Arabidopsis thaliana: one gene and its partners. The protein of the gene in region 1 interacts with the protein of each later gene in a pairwise test. Each region holds a gene or a part of one and is shown in the gene's direction. Other genes may lie near its edges.

Evidence for each region.
Region 2: the proteins of RAB6A (region 1) and POK come close enough for resonance energy transfer, tested with the Arabidopsis thaliana proteins (one study listed by BioGRID).
Region 3: the proteins of RAB6A (region 1) and ATGRIP interact in a two-hybrid assay, tested with the Arabidopsis thaliana proteins (one study listed by BioGRID).

What each region holds. Positions count from the first base shown.
Region 1 is NC_003071.7:18,410,862-18,415,735, reverse strand, and holds RAB6A (Ras-related small GTP-binding family protein), read left to right. Parts: upstream 1-1,582; 5' UTR 1,583-1,852; coding exon 1,853-1,969; intron 1,970-2,514; coding exon 2,515-2,585; intron 2,586-2,682; coding exon 2,683-2,771; intron 2,772-2,944; coding exon 2,945-3,056; intron 3,057-3,440; coding exon 3,441-3,531; intron 3,532-3,811; coding exon 3,812-3,958; 3' UTR 3,959-4,312; downstream 4,313-4,874. Other genes in the region: MTACP-1 (mitochondrial acyl carrier protein 1), read right to left, coding at 671-847, 1,225-1,416. UniProt on the Arabidopsis thaliana protein: Protein transport. Regulator of membrane traffic from the Golgi apparatus towards the endoplasmic reticulum (ER). Binds GTP and GDP and possesses intrinsic GTPase activity.
Region 2 is NC_003070.9:26,861,651-26,869,652, forward strand, and holds the start of POK (Vps52 / Sac2 family), read left to right. Parts: upstream 1-1,936; 5' UTR 1,937-2,085; coding exon 2,086-2,112; intron 2,113-2,212; coding exon 2,213-2,307; intron 2,308-2,407; coding exon 2,408-2,465; intron 2,466-2,637; coding exon 2,638-2,733; intron 2,734-2,869; coding exon 2,870-2,971; intron 2,972-3,126; coding exon 3,127-3,210; intron 3,211-3,296; coding exon 3,297-3,377; intron 3,378-3,774; coding exon 3,775-3,918; intron 3,919-4,318; coding exon 4,319-4,410; intron 4,411-4,697; coding exon 4,698-4,779; intron 4,780-5,062; coding exon 5,063-5,245; intron 5,246-5,711; coding exon 5,712-5,827; intron 5,828-5,916; coding exon 5,917-5,975; intron 5,976-6,215; coding exon 6,216-6,316; intron 6,317-6,688; coding exon 6,689-6,739; intron 6,740-6,989; coding exon 6,990-7,169; intron 7,170-7,259; coding exon 7,260-7,394; intron 7,395-7,545; coding exon 7,546-7,620; intron 7,621-7,721; coding exon 7,722-7,779; intron 7,780-7,862; and 1 more. Other genes in the region: ATWHY2 (WHIRLY 2), read right to left, coding at 199-324, 517-605, 814-887, 971-1,065, 1,154-1,246, 1,340-1,443, 1,518-1,621, 1,710-1,741. UniProt on the Arabidopsis thaliana protein: Acts as a component of the GARP complex that is involved in retrograde transport from early and late endosomes to the trans-Golgi network (TGN). The GARP complex facilitates tethering as well as SNARE complex assembly at the Golgi.
Region 3 is NC_003076.8:26,404,311-26,412,081, reverse strand, and holds ATGRIP (Golgi-localized GRIP domain-containing protein), read left to right. Parts: upstream 1-1,726; 5' UTR 1,727-2,000; intron 2,001-2,137; 5' UTR 2,138-2,193; coding exon 2,194-2,599; intron 2,600-2,688; coding exon 2,689-2,804; intron 2,805-2,981; coding exon 2,982-3,151; intron 3,152-3,262; coding exon 3,263-3,356; intron 3,357-3,514; coding exon 3,515-3,601; intron 3,602-3,701; coding exon 3,702-3,782; intron 3,783-3,907; coding exon 3,908-4,033; intron 4,034-4,359; coding exon 4,360-4,468; intron 4,469-4,560; coding exon 4,561-4,640; intron 4,641-4,832; coding exon 4,833-4,961; intron 4,962-5,048; coding exon 5,049-5,149; intron 5,150-5,320; coding exon 5,321-5,454; intron 5,455-5,539; coding exon 5,540-5,637; intron 5,638-5,697; coding exon 5,698-5,817; intron 5,818-5,946; coding exon 5,947-5,995; intron 5,996-6,107; coding exon 6,108-6,166; intron 6,167-6,311; coding exon 6,312-6,383; coding exon of another isoform or gene 6,384-6,389; exon of another isoform or gene 6,390-6,454; coding exon 6,455-6,502; and 7 more. Other genes in the region: STR16 (sulfurtransferase protein 16), read right to left, coding at 943-1,017, 1,089-1,213, 1,277-1,350, 1,437-1,525; ATSAC1B (Phosphoinositide phosphatase family protein), read left to right, coding at 7,391-7,526, 7,614-7,697. UniProt on the Arabidopsis thaliana protein: Golgi matrix protein playing a role in tethering of vesicles to Golgi membranes and in maintaining the overall structure of the Golgi apparatus.

The sequences.
Region 1 (4,874 bases):
CATTGCTGTTGCGGTTTCAGCATCTTGCTTTGTTCCTTCCACCCTATCCATTTTGCATAATTAGCTTAGCAAGTTTTTAATATTGTAAGTTCACCCATTTTGTCCCATTTACTAAAAAATCGATTCAAACGAAACCTGAAATGTATCTCCTAATTAAAACATCTAACTTGTGGATAGAGATATTGGTGTATTTTGGTACAAATGCTGTAGTTGAGATGAAGCAGAAAACTTGTCCAAATGAAAACTACTGTCTGTATTCGATCCAAAAGATGGCTGACAAACAATTCTAGTTAATAGCACGTTATGATGTAATGTAGTATATAAGATCCAATTTCTTGGTCTTGCATATGTATCCAAGAGAGACGATCAGTTTTTTAAAACAAGTATGTTTTTCAAAGATTCGTCTTCAATGTATGATCAAGACCATGCTAAGAATCAAGTGTATTATATACAAATCGTATTAAAGTATTAACTCAAGAAAAAGTGTCAACTTTCACAAGATTCAAGCAAAAAGGTTTTCTTTTTAAGAAACTGGAACCGTTAAAAGAGTCAATAACAATGCTCTCCAAATAAAAGTGATTTTTTTGCAAATCCCATTATGGCATTATCAAAGAGAGAAGAACCTCATACAAGAAAAAGGAAGGAGAAACCATGAGAGAGCACACAGCGATTAGCTAGACATTGGATGATTGTAAACGTATTCAATGGCGAGAGAGCAAGAATCGATCTTGTCAGCTTCTTTGTCTGGAATTTCCAGCTTGAATTCCTCTTCAATAGCCATCACTATCTCCACTGTGTCCAAACTATCTAATCCCAAATCGTTTTGGAAATGAACCTCAGGAGTCACCTGTCGATATTTATCACAAAGCCATCAACAAAAATAACCCTAACCAAACAACCCTTATTAGAGAGAGTTGATGAAGGATTCATAAATGCAAAATCCATAAGAATGACCATATCAAATCAAATCCATAGGAACAACAACACGATAAGCTACACTTACTAAACCACATTGAGATCAATAACCTTCAATTTACTAACAACACTAATGCAACATCGTTTCAGATACATTTGGTCTCTATTTCCACTAGATCAATACGAAATCAACCAAAAGCTCCTACATTGACAAATATTCAAGGCAAAATAATCATTTTGTTCCCAATAATGAGGAAAACAAAAGATAAGAATCACGATTTGGCCAAATTTTATGAAGATCGAGCTGACCTTAGAGGGATCGACTTTGGGGAAGCTCTTGACAACATCGAGTACTCTATCGACGACAGCTTCTCTGCTAAGATGATCATCGTGCGAAGAAAATGACCGGATCGTACCAAGGAACCCAATTTTAGACTGATTCAATCCTAGGGTTTGCACCGGAACCCTCAGGTGACGAAGAATTGCATTTCTCAGTGCCATTTTCGTCTCTTTCTTCGAGCTCGAGAATTAGGGATTTGATTTGATGAGAGAGACACAGAAGAGTCAAGTAGCCAAAAGGGGCAAAAATAGTTCAGGTCATACGAGATGACACGTGCCCCCTACTATAAGGCTAGCCCAAATCCTTACGTGGGCTTATAAATGCTGCCCATAATGTAGTAAATTCCTTAATCAGCTTCTAAGTTTTTATATATTTTGTAACTTATCTCAAATAGTTTCTAATTTAACATAAATGACCCAATTGGGTCACTCGAGGAATAAACTGCAATTTACGAATAACAAACTCTCACTAATACAGTATTTGCAATTCCAGAGCGACGGGATCTCTCTCCGGTAAATATCGGAAACTTTTATTCTCAGCAAAGCGAGATCTCGACGTTTCTCAGATCCGTCCGGCGAGTTAGATCCTTGAGAAATCATGGCTCCGGTCTCGGCACTCGCTAAGTATAAGCTGGTGTTTCTGGGAGATCAATCCGTCGGCAAAACCAGTATCATTACTCGATTCATGTACGACAAATTCGACAACACTTACCAGGTAAATTTCCATTGTTCAAATCTAGGTATTATCTCGACGATGCACGACGTTTGCTTCTATTTTGAGGGATTATAGTCGGGAAAATCCCAGGGTTTGATTGATTTTGAGATCCGTTTTCATGGACGGGAATCGTGTTTTTCAGTTCGAAGTTCTTACTCGTTTACGTGATCGGGCGTTTGGTTTTGCGTAATTATGTGTGATCTGATTTGTAGATCGTGTTTTAGTCAATGTATAGGACGTAACAATCAGCTGAATGAGATTTTGGCATCGTAATCGCTCACTCTCGTTTATTGTACAAAGTCGAGAATTCAGTCCAATAGAAGATCGCAGTAACACTAATATGAGGATGTTTCTTTGATCATGTTATCATTGTTTATCTAATCGAATTAGTTCTCAATTGATGAATGAAAGCATCTGATCTTGTTCTGTGATTATGAGAATTACGTTTAAGCTCCTAATAATATGTGAACCATGCTTGCTTATCGTCATTTTACAGAATGTTCTTCCTTTTCTAAGTAGTTTTTATGTTGTTTCATAATCATCAGGCCACAATTGGTATTGATTTTCTATCAAAGACAATGTACCTTGAAGATCGAACGGTCAGACTTCAGTTGTGGTAAGATCTTGAGCCTCTTTCAATTTTCGAATACTGAAGAATAACATTGCAGATCATTTTTTGATGATTAACATCGAGAGCCGAAATCATATGACAGGGATACAGCTGGGCAAGAGCGATTCAGGAGTCTAATTCCGAGCTATATCAGGGATTCCTCCGTTGCTGTTATTGTGTATGATGTTGCAAGTATGTGTACCTTCACTCGTTCTCTCAAACACATGAATATTTTCCCATATCTGAGATCTTGGGGATGTGGTTTTCAGTAATCTTATGAATTTATGCGTTTCGATTTCTTCTTTATGTTGATCCATTGTGCGTTGTGAAACTCGAGATTTATTTTGTTTTCCACTGACATATAGGCAGGCAGTCCTTCCTAAACACTACTAAGTGGATCGATGAGGTTAGGACAGAACGTGGTAGTGATGTCATAGTCGTGCTTGTGGGAAACAAAACTGATCTAGTGGACAAAAGGTAATAATGATCTACCATCTCTTCCTCTACTTGTTTCTTGTTAAACCATGATGTGCAAATTACTGTTCAATAGCAATTGAGACTGAAATTTGGTAGTCCTCCTTGTTTAAACACGCTCTGATTTCGTAAGTATGTTGACAAGACGAATGGGTGTCTTTTTTGTTTTACTCAAGTACAAACTGTTGTTAAACCACGTCTTACTTTTCTGGTGGTATTGAGTATGTTGCCAAACGACCCTACAAGATAATAAATGGAAAATCATTTGCTGCTCAACTGCATATCTTTACAGGGTTTCTTTATAGTCAACACGCTTTGACACTTGATGGTGCCTACTACATTTGTTACTGCCAATTGGGCCTTTGTATTAAATATTTTGTTTCTCAGGCAAGTGTCAATAGAGGAAGCAGAAGCTAAGGCACGCGAACTTAATGTAATGTTCATCGAAACCAGTGCCAAAGCGGGCTTCAACATTAAGGTAACAAAGATCTTGGCTTGACACATTTCTGAGGGTTTCTTGCACAACAAAAACTTGCTGCTTAGTTCAACTAAGCCCTAACTTTGTTTAGTTCCATCAATATTCAATAGTTAATTAACCTAGACTTATAAATTTTTAACCCAACCTGCTGATTATTACATCCTCCTCATTTGTATGGATCTTTCACTGATACTCTCTAAACAATTACCGCAAATCCATAACGCTATCACTCCGTGCAAATCTTGTTTTCTTATGATTTCAAACCTTTTTGTATTGCTAGGCGCTCTTCCGCAAGATAGCAGCAGCTTTGCCGGGAATGGAGACATTGTCTTCAACAAAGCAAGAGGATATGGTTGATGTCAATCTCAAGTCTTCCAATGCAAATGCATCTCTCGCTCAGCAGCAATCAGGAGGATGCTCTTGTTAGATTTGGCAACAACAACACAACAACAAATCGATAGAGAACAACAAAACACACTACTAAAAAATGTCCTCAAGCCCCTTTGCATGATTCGATCAGTTATCGTCTTCCATCTGTAAAATTTTTGCCTGTTTTTCAACTTTTTTTCTTCATCGGATTGTTTTTAAAGAAGACTCTGTTTTAGCTATGGTTTGTCCCTAACTGTGATCTTTTGTGGTCTTTGGAGTTTCAAATGCTCGCTGCTTCAGTACTTTTGTTTACTTATTTCTCAAAACTGTGATTTGTCGGTCTATGAATTTAATTATGTATAACTGTGAGCTGCTAGGTAATAAAAACTCTCATTTCGTTTCGTCTTTCCATGTGATAGTCTGATAGAGAAAGAAGCACAGCATTTTTAATCTTTGACCCATAAAGAAACAGATAATTAATTTCGTACACATGTCGTTAGTTCAGATCACTTAAATGAGCTAATTAAATTCAAAGTCTCACACTGTTCCCAGGTATTTTTCTCCAGTTCCACCATGTCCCTAAAATTAAGCTTCTCTCATCGTAAAAAGCTCTGGTGGGTTAATGCAGTTGGAGTATACTCAGCAATTCTATCCCAAATAATGTGTATACTCACTTAATCAGCAATAATCACTCGTAACGATTTTATGGAACTAAGTTAGTGGAATGAGTTTTTTTGTAATTACTTATTATGAATTTATGACATATCCTTTTGAAAAAGAAAAAAAAAAACAGAAACTTGTACGATTGTTTTTCTTTCATTGCAGCTGAAAAGTATTGTCATATTTTTGAATAGTCCAACCAAGCTATTTGAAAATTTTAATGACACTATATTTCATAATTATATTGTCATCAATCAAATCCTCATACATAGTACCAACTAATAGCTAAAAATTACATAACACTTGTGCTTTAT
Region 2 (8,002 bases), on another chromosome or scaffold:
TCGAGTATCAAGTTGAAACCAAAATGCTTGTACTAAATAACATATGTGCTAATGAAAACAAGAAGACCCATGATTTAGAAGTCTTAGAGAGGACATATTAGTTTCAAAACAGAGCATGCCGAGTTTCGTGTGCACCAAATGCCAGAAAAAAGAACACATGCATTTTCAATTTACTCCGTTCCTACTACTCTCATCATTTCATTTATCCCACTCCAGCTCTAACTGTGGTTCAGTCTTTAGATGAGAAACATTCCTCGACGGCAGAGCTTCAGTATTAACGTGACCAGTTAACCGATTCCAACCCATGATGTGTGGAAGAGCAAACTGCACAAAATACAAAATCTGGTTAAAAAACAATCACCAATATCCCTTGAAGAATATATACTTGATCCAGATTCATGTGCTAAAACTGACAGAGAAGCAATGCCCTTGGTTTTTCTAGTCAATGTTTTTGGTTCTCGAACTGATATAATAGTAACAGAATATAGAGAACGCAGAATAAAAATCTTATCTTACACTAAAAGCTGTCTTCATCACTGCAAATTCAGCTTTTGTGACAGGAACCACAAAATAGTCATTGGTTTTGAGGATGCTATTGTTAACGCCTGCAACAAAACCGCAGAAGGTAAGTGTTTATACAGCATTAAGAATTCAGCATTCCTATTGTTATAAGACAGCTATTCTGTGCGAAAACTGTTATCGCCATATTACAAAACTAATACAAGTGCAAGCTTCTAAATTTACTAAACAGAAAGCTCCCATAACTAAGTATTTCAGTACTGATTATCCATGTTAATTTGATAGAAGCCTTACTCAATGAGATGAAGTAGCCGCTACCATCTGCGTGGGGCTTAACTGACAGTGACTTCCTGACTTGACCAGCATTACTGAGGAGTCAAAGACAAGTCTATGTCAGAACATGAAAATGCTGCGATAAAAATATAATGTATTGAAGCAAAAAAAGACAAACCTTGATTTCATGGAAGGGTCATGGAAAAACTCGGAGCTGTCTTTGGAACCCATGCTAATTAAGGATCCAACTTCAGTAGGTGACAAAGCAAATTTCTGCAATAATGTAGGAAACAAACCAAATTTATCAGAGGAGAAAGAAGAGACAAGTGAAGAAGATAGAGAGTGTGAAAAAGATCAATACCTGTTTCTTTTCCCAGTCGTACTTACGCTCACCAATAGCAGGCATAAAAGTCATCATTAAGGATCCACGACGATCTATCCGAAGATTTCCCGACTAAACAATTGTACTCACAGTAAGTAATGAGAATCTAAAAGAAGCCTTTAAAGAGAACACACAAAACTAAAAAGAAATGGATTTTGGGCTTACATCGATTTCAGTGAAACTGGGAAGAACAGGTTCAACAGAGAGAGCAGCTTTTCCTTTGAAGATAGAATAAGGTGCGAACAATCGACCACTAGGCTTTGCGGCATCTTCTCAAATCAAGCAAACAAAATTAGGGCAAGTACACTTAAACTGACGAAACGGAAACAAACCAAGTTCTTACCTTTACCAGGGAATCCACGTCCAGGGGTTGAAGAATTTGACCAGCTTGCAAAACCACGCAACGTCGAAGCTTCGAAAAGTGACTTACTTTGGTCACAAAGGCTCCTGCTTTAACAAAAACAAACCAACCCAGAGAAGCCATTTTAAGAGTAATGAAATCTAAAATCTGAATTTTGAGAGGAACTGAAGTAACCTGGAGAGCAAAGAGCGGGCTTGCTTCATCATCTTCTTCTGTCTCGAGTAAAAAGCATCACTTGAGGTCTTCCGACTTCTGAGGTTTTATGATTTATCAAAACGGGTTTTATCGGGCGACCCATATTTTAACCCGTTTGTTTTATATATAAGTCTTTTAACGGCCCAATGGGCCTTTATTGTTGATTGGGAAATTAAAAATCAGATTAGAGAAGACGAACGAATCTGAGAAAGGTGAAGCTGAAGAAGAAGAAGAAGAAGAAGAAGAAGAAGAAGAAGAAGAAGAAGACTCTCTAATGGCGGACTCAAACTGATTTCGAGGATTCTGATTTCGTTTTCTAGTTGAAGATCTTTCAACTCTTAATCTCATTAGGAAGATGTCCGACATTTCCATTGACGCATTGGTACTTCATTTTTTTTGCATTCGTGATCTTCTAGCCTTAATCATGGATCCTTTATGATCTCTTGTCTAATTCGCTTTGCTCTTCTATCTGAAATTCATAGGGCCAAACTATGGGGGACTTTAGTAATCATGAGAAACTTGGATTTGATTTAGGAGCATTTGTTGGAGACTTGGCTTTTGAAGAAGATTCAGGCAGGTAACGTTCTCATGTTTTGTATCTTAATTCGACTATAACATATGTTTCTGCTTCTCTTTGTTCTTCTGATTAGAATGCTCTCCTTTGATTTGTTTGGCAGTGAGGATATTTCATTGGAAGGGCTTCAACAAGAACTTGAAGAATGTGAAAGTGATGAGGTAAGTTATTCACTTAACTGAGATCAAACTTATAAAGCTAGCACCTCGGTTCTTCTTTTTCGAAGTATTGTTTCTACTCTCATTTGAGTTACTTTGGAGTACATGGATTGATCATAGAATGTTAGATCCATGGATATGATGTCCTTTCTATCTTGTTTGTGTGAAATGTCAGGTTGTTGCCAATATACTGTCTAGTGGTGACAAACTTAGAGAATATGCAAAAGGGGTTGAAAACAATCTACGCAAGGTTGAATTGGATTCAATCGAGGTTGTTATTCTCTACCTGTGCTACATTGTGGCACTTGTTGTTTTCTACTTTTTATGTACTTCCGTCTATAAGTTCGGGAATTTCTTTGATATCGTAAGTAACTAACTTAAATGCTTTACATTCCATGAATACTCAGGATTACATAAAGGAAAGTGACAACCTAGTCTCACTTCACGATCAGATTCGTGACTGTGACAGCATCCTGTCACAAATGGAAACTCTTCTCAGTGGATTTCAGGTATTTGAAAATTAGACATTTATATAATTTGTGTGTATGTATGTGCTTCTTTCTCCTTATTCTGACTTTTGCTTAATGGGAGGAATTTTTTTACTTTGAAATACATATATTTTTTCCTGGTAATCTAAATGTGCACTTTGCTTCTTTTCTTTCAGGAAGAGATTGGTTCTATAAGTTCAGACATAAAGATTCTTCAAGAAAAGTCAATGGACATGGGTTTGAGATTGAAAAACCGCAGGGTATAGCTAATCAGAAACCACTATTGGTATTATCTCTTGCTGCTTTCACTCGTGACTCATCCAAATGAACTCTTCTATTTGAATAGGTGGCTGAATCAAAGCTAGCAAAATTTGTCGAAGACATTATAGTGCCACCAAAGATGATAGATGTAATTGTTGACGGAGAGGTATTTTTCAAATTCACTTTTTATGTAGCTTTGGTAGGGTTGGAGATTTGTAGGAATTTTGTAGGATCTCGTCATGTTGTATACATGTCTAATTTTTCTTTTTGTTTCTGGTGCTATAAGAATTACTGATTTGGTGCATATGTTGTAATCTGAAACATGGAGGAAAAATAGAAAAACAACATTTTCTGGTTAAGCTTGGTATATGCTTCCCCTATGTGCAATACTAAAATTTATTAAATTTTCTTCATTTTGTTTTCTTACACCATTTAGTCCTATCTTTATGTCCCCTGAGTACGTGTTTTTTTTGTAAAACCATAGTGGTGCATTTAAGCCTAGGTTGGATTGCTGAGGGTATTTTTATTGCTAATCTGATAGTCGTATTATTTTCCTTATTCAGGTGAATGAAGAGTATATGAAAACGCTTGAAATTCTGAGTAAGAAGCTAAAATTTGTAGAAGCAGATCAGGCAGTTAAAAGTTCCAAAGCGTTAAAAGATGTAGAGCCTGAGCTCGAAAAGCTTCGGCAGAAAGCTATTTCCAAGGTTATTGATCTACTTTCTCTGTTACTTGATACCAAAAACTTATATATTTCGCTGAAGGGAGTGTGATAGGTCCAAACATAACTGTACCTATTGACTCTCAAAACACACTGATACATGCATATTTCTTAAAGTTGTTAATTGTTTGATAAAAAACTACAGAAAAGTTAAGTTCCTGATATAACTCAACTTATTCTACCTCAATGAGATGAATCATTGTTCCTTCCCTCTGAAAGAATTTATGGCCAGGAAAAAGTTGCCATCTGCGATAAATTCAACTTTTAGTTCTGTATTAAGTCATTTGTGTTTGTTCTCGTCCAATGCTGAAAGGGCATGCACGACTGCACGTCGATGGAGCATTCTAAATTTGTTCTCATGCAATAGATTTAAATTCGTTTTGCAGGTGTATGATTTTATTGTCCAGAAGCTTATAGCCCTGAGGAAACCCAAAACAAACATTCAGATTCTTCAACAGAGTGTGTTATTAAAGTACAAGTGAGTTATGCTCTCCAAGCCCCTTTAATTGGTTTTGACGTAGTGAAACTACAAATTGTACAACGTCTCCTGTCTTGCATGTATGTTTCTGTTAACTTTTTCTGCATGTGTATGTGGTCATCACCTTACAAACGTTTTGGTTAGTTATCTTGGTTTGGATTTTCCCTTTGTGATGTTGACGGAGTTGTTTTATTTTACATGTTACTGATATCCAACTTGATATTATATTGCTTCTACAAGACTTATGTGGATACATACTTCATTCACCAATTACAATTTAATGATAGGTATATTATCTCCTTCCTCAAGGAACATGGAAAAGAAGTGTTTATGGATGTTCGTGCTGCATACATTGATACCATGAACAAGGTGATATTCTTTATCTTGTTTGATTTCTTACACTATGCTGCAACTCCTTTATATAGTCTTAGTTGAATGAGGAAGAATACACAGATAGATTTGACTAAGGTTATTCTCCGCATATGCAAGGTAGTGGATACAACATCCAATTGTACGTTACATGCAAGTAATTCTTCTATTCTTGTTTTCTAACTATAATTGGACAAAGCTAGTTGGTTAGATAAAAATGCTGTTTGCTAGCTTAGGCTTTTAAATGTTATTACACCTTATGTATTGTATGATCTTGTTTCAGGTGTTAAGTGCACATTTTCGTGCTTATATTCAAGCACTTGAGAAACTACAGTTAGATATAGCCACAGCATATGACTTAATTGGGGTAGAGACCAGAACCACCGGCCTCTTCTCAAGAGCTAGGGAGCCACTAAAGAACCGCTCTGCCGTTTTTGCTTTGGGTGACAGGATAAAAATTATAAAGGTATGCATCATTCAGCAGTTATCATTTTTTGATTGATTTTTTCGACCATTCTACATGCTCTGGCGAATTTGTTATATAAAATGAGTTGCTCTTCTGACTCTTTAATACAAAAGATGGTACTAGGTCTGCGTCTTTACAAATAAAGTATAAGTTATATTAATGTATTGTACACCATAAGTTTTATTGAGGAGTGCCCACTTTGGTTTTGGTTCAGATATTTTAGTCTTAGGTTATAAATTATAGGAATCAAATATTTTGGTTCATTTCAGTTTTGGTTTTTACGATATGTATCCTTAATTTTAAAGGCTCCTCAAATAGATGGAAGTTTCGATTTGTTTTTCTCATTTTCAATTTGGATTAGTGTGGTATCAATTTGTTTTTTTTTGCTATAGAAGAAGTAAATCCAAAGTTTGTTTGGTTTAACAATATTCGTTAAAAGACTTAAGTTTCAGTATGACCGCTGTAGGATATTGATCAACCTGCTTTGATCCCGCACATAGCCGAAGCCAGCTCTCTCAAATATCCTTATGAAGTGCTCTTCAGGAGCCTGCACAAGCTACTTATGGATACAGCTACTTCTGAGTTCTGTTGATTTTTCCCCTTTTATATTTGTGTTATTGTCGCTCATCGCTCAACCCCCTGGTTAACGTCATTTGTTTTCATTTTAACAGGTATATGTTTTGTGATGATTTCTTTGGTGAAGAGTCCATATTCTATGAAATTTTTGCGGGTAATTTCTAATCTGTCTCCCTTCCTTTTGCTGTACCAAACTTTGTGGATTTTGTTAGCTGTGTAGAAGAACATCTGTTTTTCCTGTAATACTGGTATACCAAATTTGATATGGTGTTGAGCAGCGTGTAAGAAATTATCTTCTCTTCTTCCGGATAGAAAGCTGAACCTCTTGTACTTTACAATGGATATGATAATTGTAGCAGTTTTTTGGATAAATTCTAAAATTTAAATGATACAGGTCCATTTTCTGTCATCGATGAGCACTTCAATCCCGTTCTTTCAAACTGTTTTGATGCTATTGGCCTGATGCTTATGATTCGCATAATACACCACCACCAGGTATTAACGATGACCTAACTACTAGTTTATCTGCGTTTTGGTGAATATCTTGGAATTAGGTAATTTATTTAGCTTCTTCCCTTTTGAACTTTTCTAGTCTCCCACATATGTGAGAATGCATTGAAGTATGGTTAGATATTTATCAACTTGGCATTGGAAAGAGTTCTCTTAATATCTTGCAAACTAACGATGTAGATATACCTTCAACTGGTCCACATAGGCGTATTACAACCAGTCTATATTTTTTCTCAACAGTATGATAATCTAGTGTAGCTTATATTACTTATTTTCATGATCCAGCCTTTTGCAAGGGTCATGATGGTATTATATGTCCACTAATAGTTAAGCAATACTTTCCCACCTTTTTTACAGCTTATCATGTCTCGCCGGAGAATTCCATGCCTGGACTCATATCTGGACAAGGTTCATACCTCTCTATCTCTTTTATTATGTTTGATCAACATTTAAATATGTATGGTGCAATAAAAAGAGTTCATTATTATTGTGCTCATCTTCAGCTGTTTTCACTTGGTCGCTAAATGTTTTCTTTTTGGTATAACTTTGAAGGTCTTGTATAGATCTTAGATATAAGCTTATAGATGCGGCTATGGTTTGATTTCCTTAGGTTTCATAGTCCTCTCTCAATGAATCTTTTATTTTGGAAATTGAGCAGGTTAATATTTCTTTGTGGCCTCGTTTCAAGATGGTGTTTGACTCACACCTTAGCAGTCTGAGAGATGCAAACATTAAGACATTATGGGAAGATGATGTTCATCCTCACTATGTCATGAGGCGTTATGCTGAATTCACGGCTTCGTTTATTCACCTAAACGTTGAATATGGAGATGGGCAGGTTCGTTATAAGATTGCTTCTGTCTCTAGTGATATGTATTACCTGTTCTCATCACTCAAATCGCTTGACACTATATATGAACCGCTGCAGCTTGATATAAATCTGGAGCGGTTAAGAATGGCTGTAGATGGGTTGATTCTCAAGCTTGCAAAGTTGTTCCCAAGGCCAAAGCAGCAAATTGTGTTTCTCATAAATAACTACGATATGACAATCGCTGTACTGAAGGTGAGTTGAATCCTTGGCCGTCTCATGTTAAGTGCACCCATGTGGACCAGTGTTTTCTTGGTTTGAAATGGCTTTCTACGAATCTCAAGGCTTAACTAATTGAGTCTGACCTACCAAAAGAATCTGTTTTGATCATCTTCCTGTATTTTAGGAAGCTGGACCAGAAGGTGGGAAAATTCAAATGCATTTTGAGGAAATGCTAAAGAGTAACACTTCATTATTTGTGGTAAGGGGCAAATACTAGGTTACCTTTGTAATTTGCTTCATGGGTATAACATAAAACTGTCTTTGTAGTAGCCTAACCTTAAATCTGATGTTAACTCGTAGGAAGAACTGCTGGTGGAGCATTTCAGTGATTTGATCAAATTCGTGAAAAATCGAGCTTGTAAGCAACTTGTTTCTTTCTTTTCTTCACGTACTCATCGAGTGTTAAGTTGAAAAACCACTAAACTGTAAGATATGTGGCAGCTGAGGATTCGAGCTTAAATCCAGAGAGGTCCATTACAATTGCTGAAGTAGAGCCACTGGTGAAGGACTTTGGAAGCAGATGGAAGACAGCGATTGAGTTGATGGACAAAGACATCATAACTTCCTTCAGTAACTTCTTG
Region 3 (7,771 bases), on another chromosome or scaffold:
TTATTGAATTGGCGATAAGAAGATTATTTAGGAGAAAGAAACTGAGGGCAGAAGCAGACAAAACGAAAGAGGGACGGTTACATACAGTGGGAAAGAAGAGATGTGGATTGTTGTGCCTTCATAAATGTCTACTTGTGGAAGACTAAGCAGTAAGTTAAAAGAAACGTGAATGATTTCCCCTGAAACGATGGTTACACAACACTCCCTTATTCACTTGGTTTTCGGGTTAAAGTTAGAAAAATAAAAGAGGTGGCCCAGCTTTGGTGCATTGAGAGTAGCAGAGTTATTAAATGCTTCGCAGAATTGCAGTTGCACATTCACTCCCTTCTTCTTCTTAATCTCCTTACAGTTACAGACATTCTCTCACTTGCGTTCTTGTTTCTTTTACAAAACAGATACACTATGTTTCCGAGAGAGTCCCTCTGATATTGGCCTGGTTCACTCAGATTCTCTTTTACTAACTCATCTGATTGAGCCGTGTCAATATCTCAGTCCTCTCTCGTCGCTTCTCTCGTATTTTGAAGTTTGCCTCGTTAGGTCACACCACTTGTTTTGTACACACGATCGAGTTGTTGATATGGTGTTGTTGTCTTTGTGTACTCATCGATCACTCAATATATACACATATATTGTCTGTTGCCAAGAACAGATGGACCTTTAAGGTAACAATCTTGTAGATATAATCGTTGATCGGATGCTCCTTTCTCCTTTCTAATTGATTTTTTTTTTAAACTATATATATAGAGATTTCGATGCAATCAACACACACTCGTATTTTTATATATTTTAAAAAGATGCGATGAGCCCCTCCCTCCAAGCTATCACATCAGACAGCAAAGAGAAAGGAGGGTCATTTATTGATGATTACATGCGGAAAGGATGCATTATTGAAGAAGAAGGAGACGAAGAGATAAGGAAAGATGTTTGGTGAATGGTGAGTCATCAAGCCTTTGTAGGAAGGCCATTCTTGGCCCAGGCACTATAGCCACCGACGATATCTTTGACTCCCGTGAAACCCTGCAAATTCGCAAATTATATATCACCAACAAAGTAAAAGTCAGAAAGAAGAGCTTTGTGGTGGAGCTTACTGCATGGAGAAGATCGGTGGTGGCTTTGATAGATCTACCACCGCTCTGGCAGCCAACAATGATGTTATCGGATTGTCCGAAATGGGAGGAGACTTGTTCCAGGAAGTCGGGGTTCTTTGACATCCCTGTTTCACAATCACAAAATTATATCCATCACTCAGTTATCAACTAACCAAATAAAAACATACCTGATGCTCCTCGATTCATGTAAGGCACGTTGATCGCCCCACAGGCATGTCCCTGGCTGAACTCTTCTGGAGTCCTATATTCATCATCCCCATTACATCAAGATCCTAATGATGCTATGTTGATGATTGAAATAGTCAAAAGAGAAAGGTGGGGCGGTACCTGACGTCTAGATAGCGGTGGCCGGCTAGAAGAAGGTCGTGGGCGACTGTTACCGACACCGATGATGGGACTCTGCTCTCCTCCGCCATTTTTTTCAATGGCTTATTATTATATTTGACTGGACAAAGACTTCAATAATTTCATTTTATATAAATTAGTTGGGAAAGTGATTATAATTGGGCCATATATTACAAATACATAATGGGCCTAAGTTGCTGCTTTATGGGCTAAGCTGTTTTCGGACTGTCCTTCATATTTTCATATTACCATTCCAAAACGGCATCATTTTAGCTAACCTCGTCTTGGGTTTACTTGATGAATTTTCAAAAGGTTTAAGGCTTCTGAATGCAATTATTCATTAGTAAAACACCCTTTACACAATTCTTACCATTCTTCGTCAGTCGATCAGATCAACGTTTTACCGTCTCACTGATCGACGGGAAAGAGACGACGACGTTTTTAACCTTTGGGTTGAGATCCGATCCAATATTTCGAAATCGTGATTCCTTGTTTGTGACCTCTCTCTCTCTGCCTCCACACTCTTCTCTAATCCCTCACCTCAAGGTAAGCTTCTTCTCTGGCACTGATTACATTCAAATCTCTCTTCTCCTTGCGTTGCTTTTGCTGGTTTATTCGAATTTCACGACTTGACTCCTTTCTCTTTTGATTGTTGATTCAAATCCCGATTTTGCGCTTACTAGTTGTCGTCGCTCTCTTGAGTGTCTGGGTTCATCTTTCTGACATCTGCTCTGCCAAGATGTCCGAAGACAAGGAATCTGATGTGGTTGGAGAAGAAGAGGAGAGCCATGTGATCAAAGAAGATAAAGAGTTAAATGATGCCTCCAACGAGACTCTGACAGAAAATGGTGATCAGCTACTCCAAATGATTGCTGAACTGAGATTAGAAAATGACTTTCTCAGATCCCAATTTGAGGGACTCAAGGATGAGGTAGCGCAAGGTAGGTCTCTCCAGAAAGCTGAGCAAGTGGAAGCGGACTCTGCTCAGCTGAAACAACTTCAAGAACAGGTCGCATCATTGAGCAGAGAAATTGATGTGGAAAAACAAACTCGAGTTGCAGCTGAGCAAGCTCTTGAGCATCTAAGGGAAGCATACTCTGAGGCTGATGCTAAATCCCAAGAATACTCCTCTAAGTTTTCCCAAGGTCAGAAGCCATCTTTTCTATTTGCTCATTCATTGACCGGAACCAGTGTTTGCCTTTTCTCAACTTGTGCTATTACATTGTTGGTGTAGTTGAACAGAAACTGGACCAGGAAATCAAAGAGCGCGACGAGAAATATGCCGACCTGGACGCCAAATTCACCAGGCTTCACAAAAGGGCTAAACAACGCATTCAAGAAATCCAAAAGGTGAATGTCTTTCTCTACATTTTATAATGCTTTCTGTTTTAGCCACTTTGAGGCTACTGTGAGTTTCAAAAACCATCTTATACTATTTCGGAATTTCTATGCTGCATTTTCAGACATATAGATTTCGCTGCTATGTGCTGTCTTAATCTCAGTGGTATATTATATTGCTATCTTCAGGAAAAAGATGATCTCGACGCCCGTTTCCGGGAAGTGAATGAAACAGCTGAACGAGCATCTTCTCAACACTCATCCATGCAACAAGAGCTGGAACGCACTAGGCAACAGGCGAATGAAGCACTTAAAGCAATGGATGCGGAGAGGCAACAACTAAGGAGTGCCAATAACAAGTAAATAATTCGAAGATAATTTTTACAGAAATTGTATAAAATGAATGTCGCCTTTCCCACTTCTCCAGCTACCTCTAAGAATTTGAGTACTGGAGTTTTCTCTTTACACAGGCTCAGGGATACTATCGAGGAACTACGTGGCTCATTGCAGCCTAAAGAAAATAAGATTGAGACATTGCAACAGTCACTTCTTGATAAGGACCAGGTTTGATCTCTTTCATTTTCTGTAATACTAGTCTGCAATATATAGAAAAATAGAGAGACAAAAGAGACAGAGAGAGAGAGAGAGAGGGGGGGGGGGGGGGGGGGGGGAGGGATGGCTCTGTATACTCTGCTTCATATGCGTACTTGCTTTAATCCTAGATTCTGGAGGACCTGAAAAAGCAATTACAAGCTGTGGAAGAGAGAAAGCAAATTGCAGTTACTGAGTTGTCAGCCAAGCATCAAAAGGTAGTCAGCATCAGCGATTGTGTTACTTCTTATATGCTATGAGCCACCATTTTCCGCTAATGACATCCAAGGTTTTCTCTTCTCTCCACCTTCTTGACAGAACTTAGAGGGTTTGGAAGCACAGGTCGTAGATGCTCTATCTGAGAGGGACAAAGCAGCCGAAACCATTTCGTCGCTGCAGGTTAGTCTTTTGACTAAATTCTTTAGTTCTATTACTGGATGATGTGCTTTGGTTTTCAAATGAGCGAGAGAGAATAGTTTGAAATAAGTGATAAATTCTTCACACCAAGTATACACCTCTTTTAGGTACTGCTTGCAGAGAAGGAATCTAAAATTGCAGAGATGGAGGCAGCTGCAACTGGCGAAGCAGCAAGGCTAAGGGCTGCTGCAGAAACTCTTAAAGGAGAGCTTGCACACCTTAAATCAGAGAATGTAAGTGGAATGTTTAAAGATGGATTCGCAGGACTCTCTGATGCCAACTGTCATTTGTCCTTCGTTATTGTTGCCCATTCGTATATTCTAAGACATTGTTTTGCATACTACTCGTCAAATGATTTCCATCATTTAGCAGATTTACTAGCATGGTTTTAACCAGGGAATGAATATAGGAGTGCGTATAGATAATTGTAAACATGATCTAAGGCGTCAGTCTGTCATCAGACAGCATGTTTAGAGTTTCTATTTGTTTGGCCATATAAATTCCTCTATTTTCTTTTGTTGTAATTCATAGAAGCCATGATTTTTTTTTGTTCCTTTAGGAAAAGGAAAAGGAGACTTGGGAAGCTTCATGCGATGCCCTTAAATCTAAACTGGAAATCGCTGAAAGCAACTACTTACAGGCCGAAATCGAAGTGGCTAAAATGAGAAGTAATTGACGGAGTTCATAAACGTTGAACTAATCTAGTTATGTTTTACTTTTGTCTATGGACTATAGACATTTCATTCATATAAATTGTCAGGTCAGCTGGGATCTGAAATGTCCATGCAGACCCAGATACTAAGCACAAAAGATGCGGAACTCAAAGGTGCAAGAGAAGAGGTACATAGTTTTCTTTTGGTTCTTTTGGAAACTATTGTAGCCTTGGTTAGGTGAACGAATTTATTAGTCATCCATTCTTAATCACATAACGTGAATTATTATGGAATCAAAGAGCCATTTTGAGCTTTAAGGAATGTTCTGCTTTAGCTAGTCTTCATTTAACCATATTGAATTCCTTGTAACTGTTCACAGATCAACCGGCTCCAAAGTGAATTCTCTTCTTACAAGATCCGTGCTCACGCGCTTTTGCAAAAGAAGGACATGGAGCTGGCTGCAGCTAAAGACTCTGAACAAATTAAATCTCTTGAGGAAGCTCTAAAGGTAAGTTATCTAGAATCTTAAGATGGAGATATTTTTAGATGGTTGCCAAGGTGCTTACCAACTAATTATCTTTTTGGGTGGTGTTAGGAAGCTGAAAAAGAAGTATATTTGGTATCTGCAGAGAGGGATAGGGCACAGCAAGATCTTCAGAGTGCTTTGGCTAGCCTTGAGAAAGAACTTGAAGAGAGGTATATATTGACACTGAATCTTTTTCATGTTTGATTCCGGAGGTTGGCTGCTCATTCTCCTCAATTTGCCAGAGAAAACAACTGAGAAATGGTGTTCTCAGGGGACTGGTTATGGAGTTCTTCAGACATATATTGGTCGTCTGAGCTATTTTTGTTTCATATATATTTCAGAGCTGGAGCACTTAAAGATGCCAGCGAGCAGATCAAAAGTCTTGAAGTGAAGCTTGACTCCACTGTTGCTCGCAATCAGGCGGAGAAACAAGCTTGGGAAGAAGACCTTCGGGTTTTAGAAGAAACATGGCGACGTAATTGATTCAAATCTAAATTCGGTTTTTTCATTAGTTCTTGGAAATTGAAATTCCCTTCCTAAAAGGCTACAGTAATCTATAGGAAGATGTGAAGCTTTGACCGCTCAAAATGAAGCCTCACCTGCAGAAGGTATAGAAAAAGAACTAGAAAATGCCAAACTGCGGAATAAACGAATGAAGGTAAATCACTTTTTGTTATACTCATAAAAAAGTTTTTTTGTCTAACTGACATACCTGCAGGAGGAGCATGAATCAGTACGTGAGCTTGCAGATAGACTCATTGAGGAGAAGGATCGAGAGATATCGAGACTTGTGGATGAGATGACAAATCTTCGAAAATCTATGGAGTCAAAACCAGTAGTATGTGGATGGTTCTTTTTTTTTTTTTTTTTGCTTATTACCTTACTTCTCCTTTTTATCTTTGGTTTTACGCTAGTAACTTTTCATTTAATTTGCACTGAAACTTTTCACTCTTCATGTGGCATTAAGTGGAACAAATCTCCATCCCAGGTTCACCACTATGGGAACAACAACACAGGTACAAGATGTTTTCCTGATACCATATTTTTTTAATAAGGGCTCCCTATATGAATGAATCAGTGGGTTCCCTGTCATCAATAACCTATTATTTTCTTTAAACGGGGTTTCAGAGTCACAACAGCAGGATGTATCTAACTTGAGCACTTCTGCAGCAGAGCACCAGATTCTGGTAGGATTTTGTAATGTTAGCTGTCTGCTTGTGTGAGCAAGGAGCGATCTTTAATCCTAGAACTTAATTTCCTTCAAATGTAATGCTATGGCCTACGGGACAAATCAGTGAGAGCTAATCATGACACATAATAATCAAATTTCAGATATTGGCAAGGCAACAAGCTCAGAGAGAAGAAGAGTTAGCACAGACACAGCGCCATATTTTAGCTCTTCAGGTGTAGTAGAATTGGTTGCATTGATCTGTTTCTGCACATGTTGCAATTAGTAACTGTTTATTCTGAATCAGGAGGAAATCGAGGAGCTTGAACGAGAAAACCGTCTTCACAGTCAACAGGTATGTGATTACACGAGAGTTTGGTTGCTTTGCCAGTTTCTTAGGATCTTATTTCAAACTTCCGGTGGTATGCTAAATTACAGGAAGCAGTGCTAAAGACGGAGTTGAGGGAGATGGAAAGAAAACAGAAGAGAGAAGGCGTGGATATGACATACCTAAAGAATGTGATATTAAAACTGCTAGAAACAGGTTAAAAAACCTGGAGATTAAAGGTGGATTCACGAAGTAGATGTTTTAGGGGTAAATTAACTTGTGATAATTGCAGGTGAAGTGGAGGCTTTACTACCTGTAGTGGGGATGTTGCTGCAGTTCAGTCCAGAGGAGATCCAGAAGTGTCAGCAAGCCTACCATAGCTCAACAACAGCGGCAACAACAACAGAGGCGACTCCAAGTCCGGCAAGTGAGGGTTCAGGTCTATCAGTCTTCTCAAGATTCTCGTTTTCATAGTCGGGTGGGCACTGGACACATTCTTTTGGGCCAAGATACATACACATACATACGACATTGTGTTTAAGTCCTTCGTTTTTGTGTAATGAACACTAAAAGTCAAGAAAACACTTTTTGTCCAGATGTAAAGAAAGGATAAGCCACTGAATTGAGTTGTTGGGCCATTTTTAATGGAGTCTATTGTAATCATGCAGAAAACCGCTGATTATCGGAATTAATGAAACTAAAAAAGTCAACGCAAAATTAACTACAAAGATAGTATAATAATAACGGTCGTCGACTTGTTGTTATTGGTCAACCGTTATGTACGGAATCAATTTGAACGGGTCTCACTCTCACTGCCTTGAAGGCCATTTTAATTGAGCGGAATTCATTTCGCCTACTAGTTTCAAATCTCGTAACGAAGAAGGTGATTGGTTCTTCTTCCTCTTGCTGGAAGCCATGGTGAGTAGGCTCAAGATACACTCTGGCTTGCGTTTGTGGGAATTCCCTGATCAGTACGTCATCGAGCCAACCGATGGTTCCTCCGCTTCATGTTTGGATATTAGTCGTCTTGACGGCTCCATGAAGCTCATTGGTGTGTTTCCTGTTTTTGCCTCGTTATATTGGAATCTTTTTGTTCTCTTATGCATGTATGTGTAATGCATCCTCTTGCCTGTCTCAGATCAAGTAGCAGAATGCAACTCTTTGCGTGTCCCTAAAATCCGCTCCATTTTCGGTGTGGTTGGGATGCTGAAGCTCCTGGCAGGTGAAATTTCAGAGATCCTATCGAATAATTAATCTATTTGTGAATGTTTTCATCTTCATTTGAACCAAGAGCAA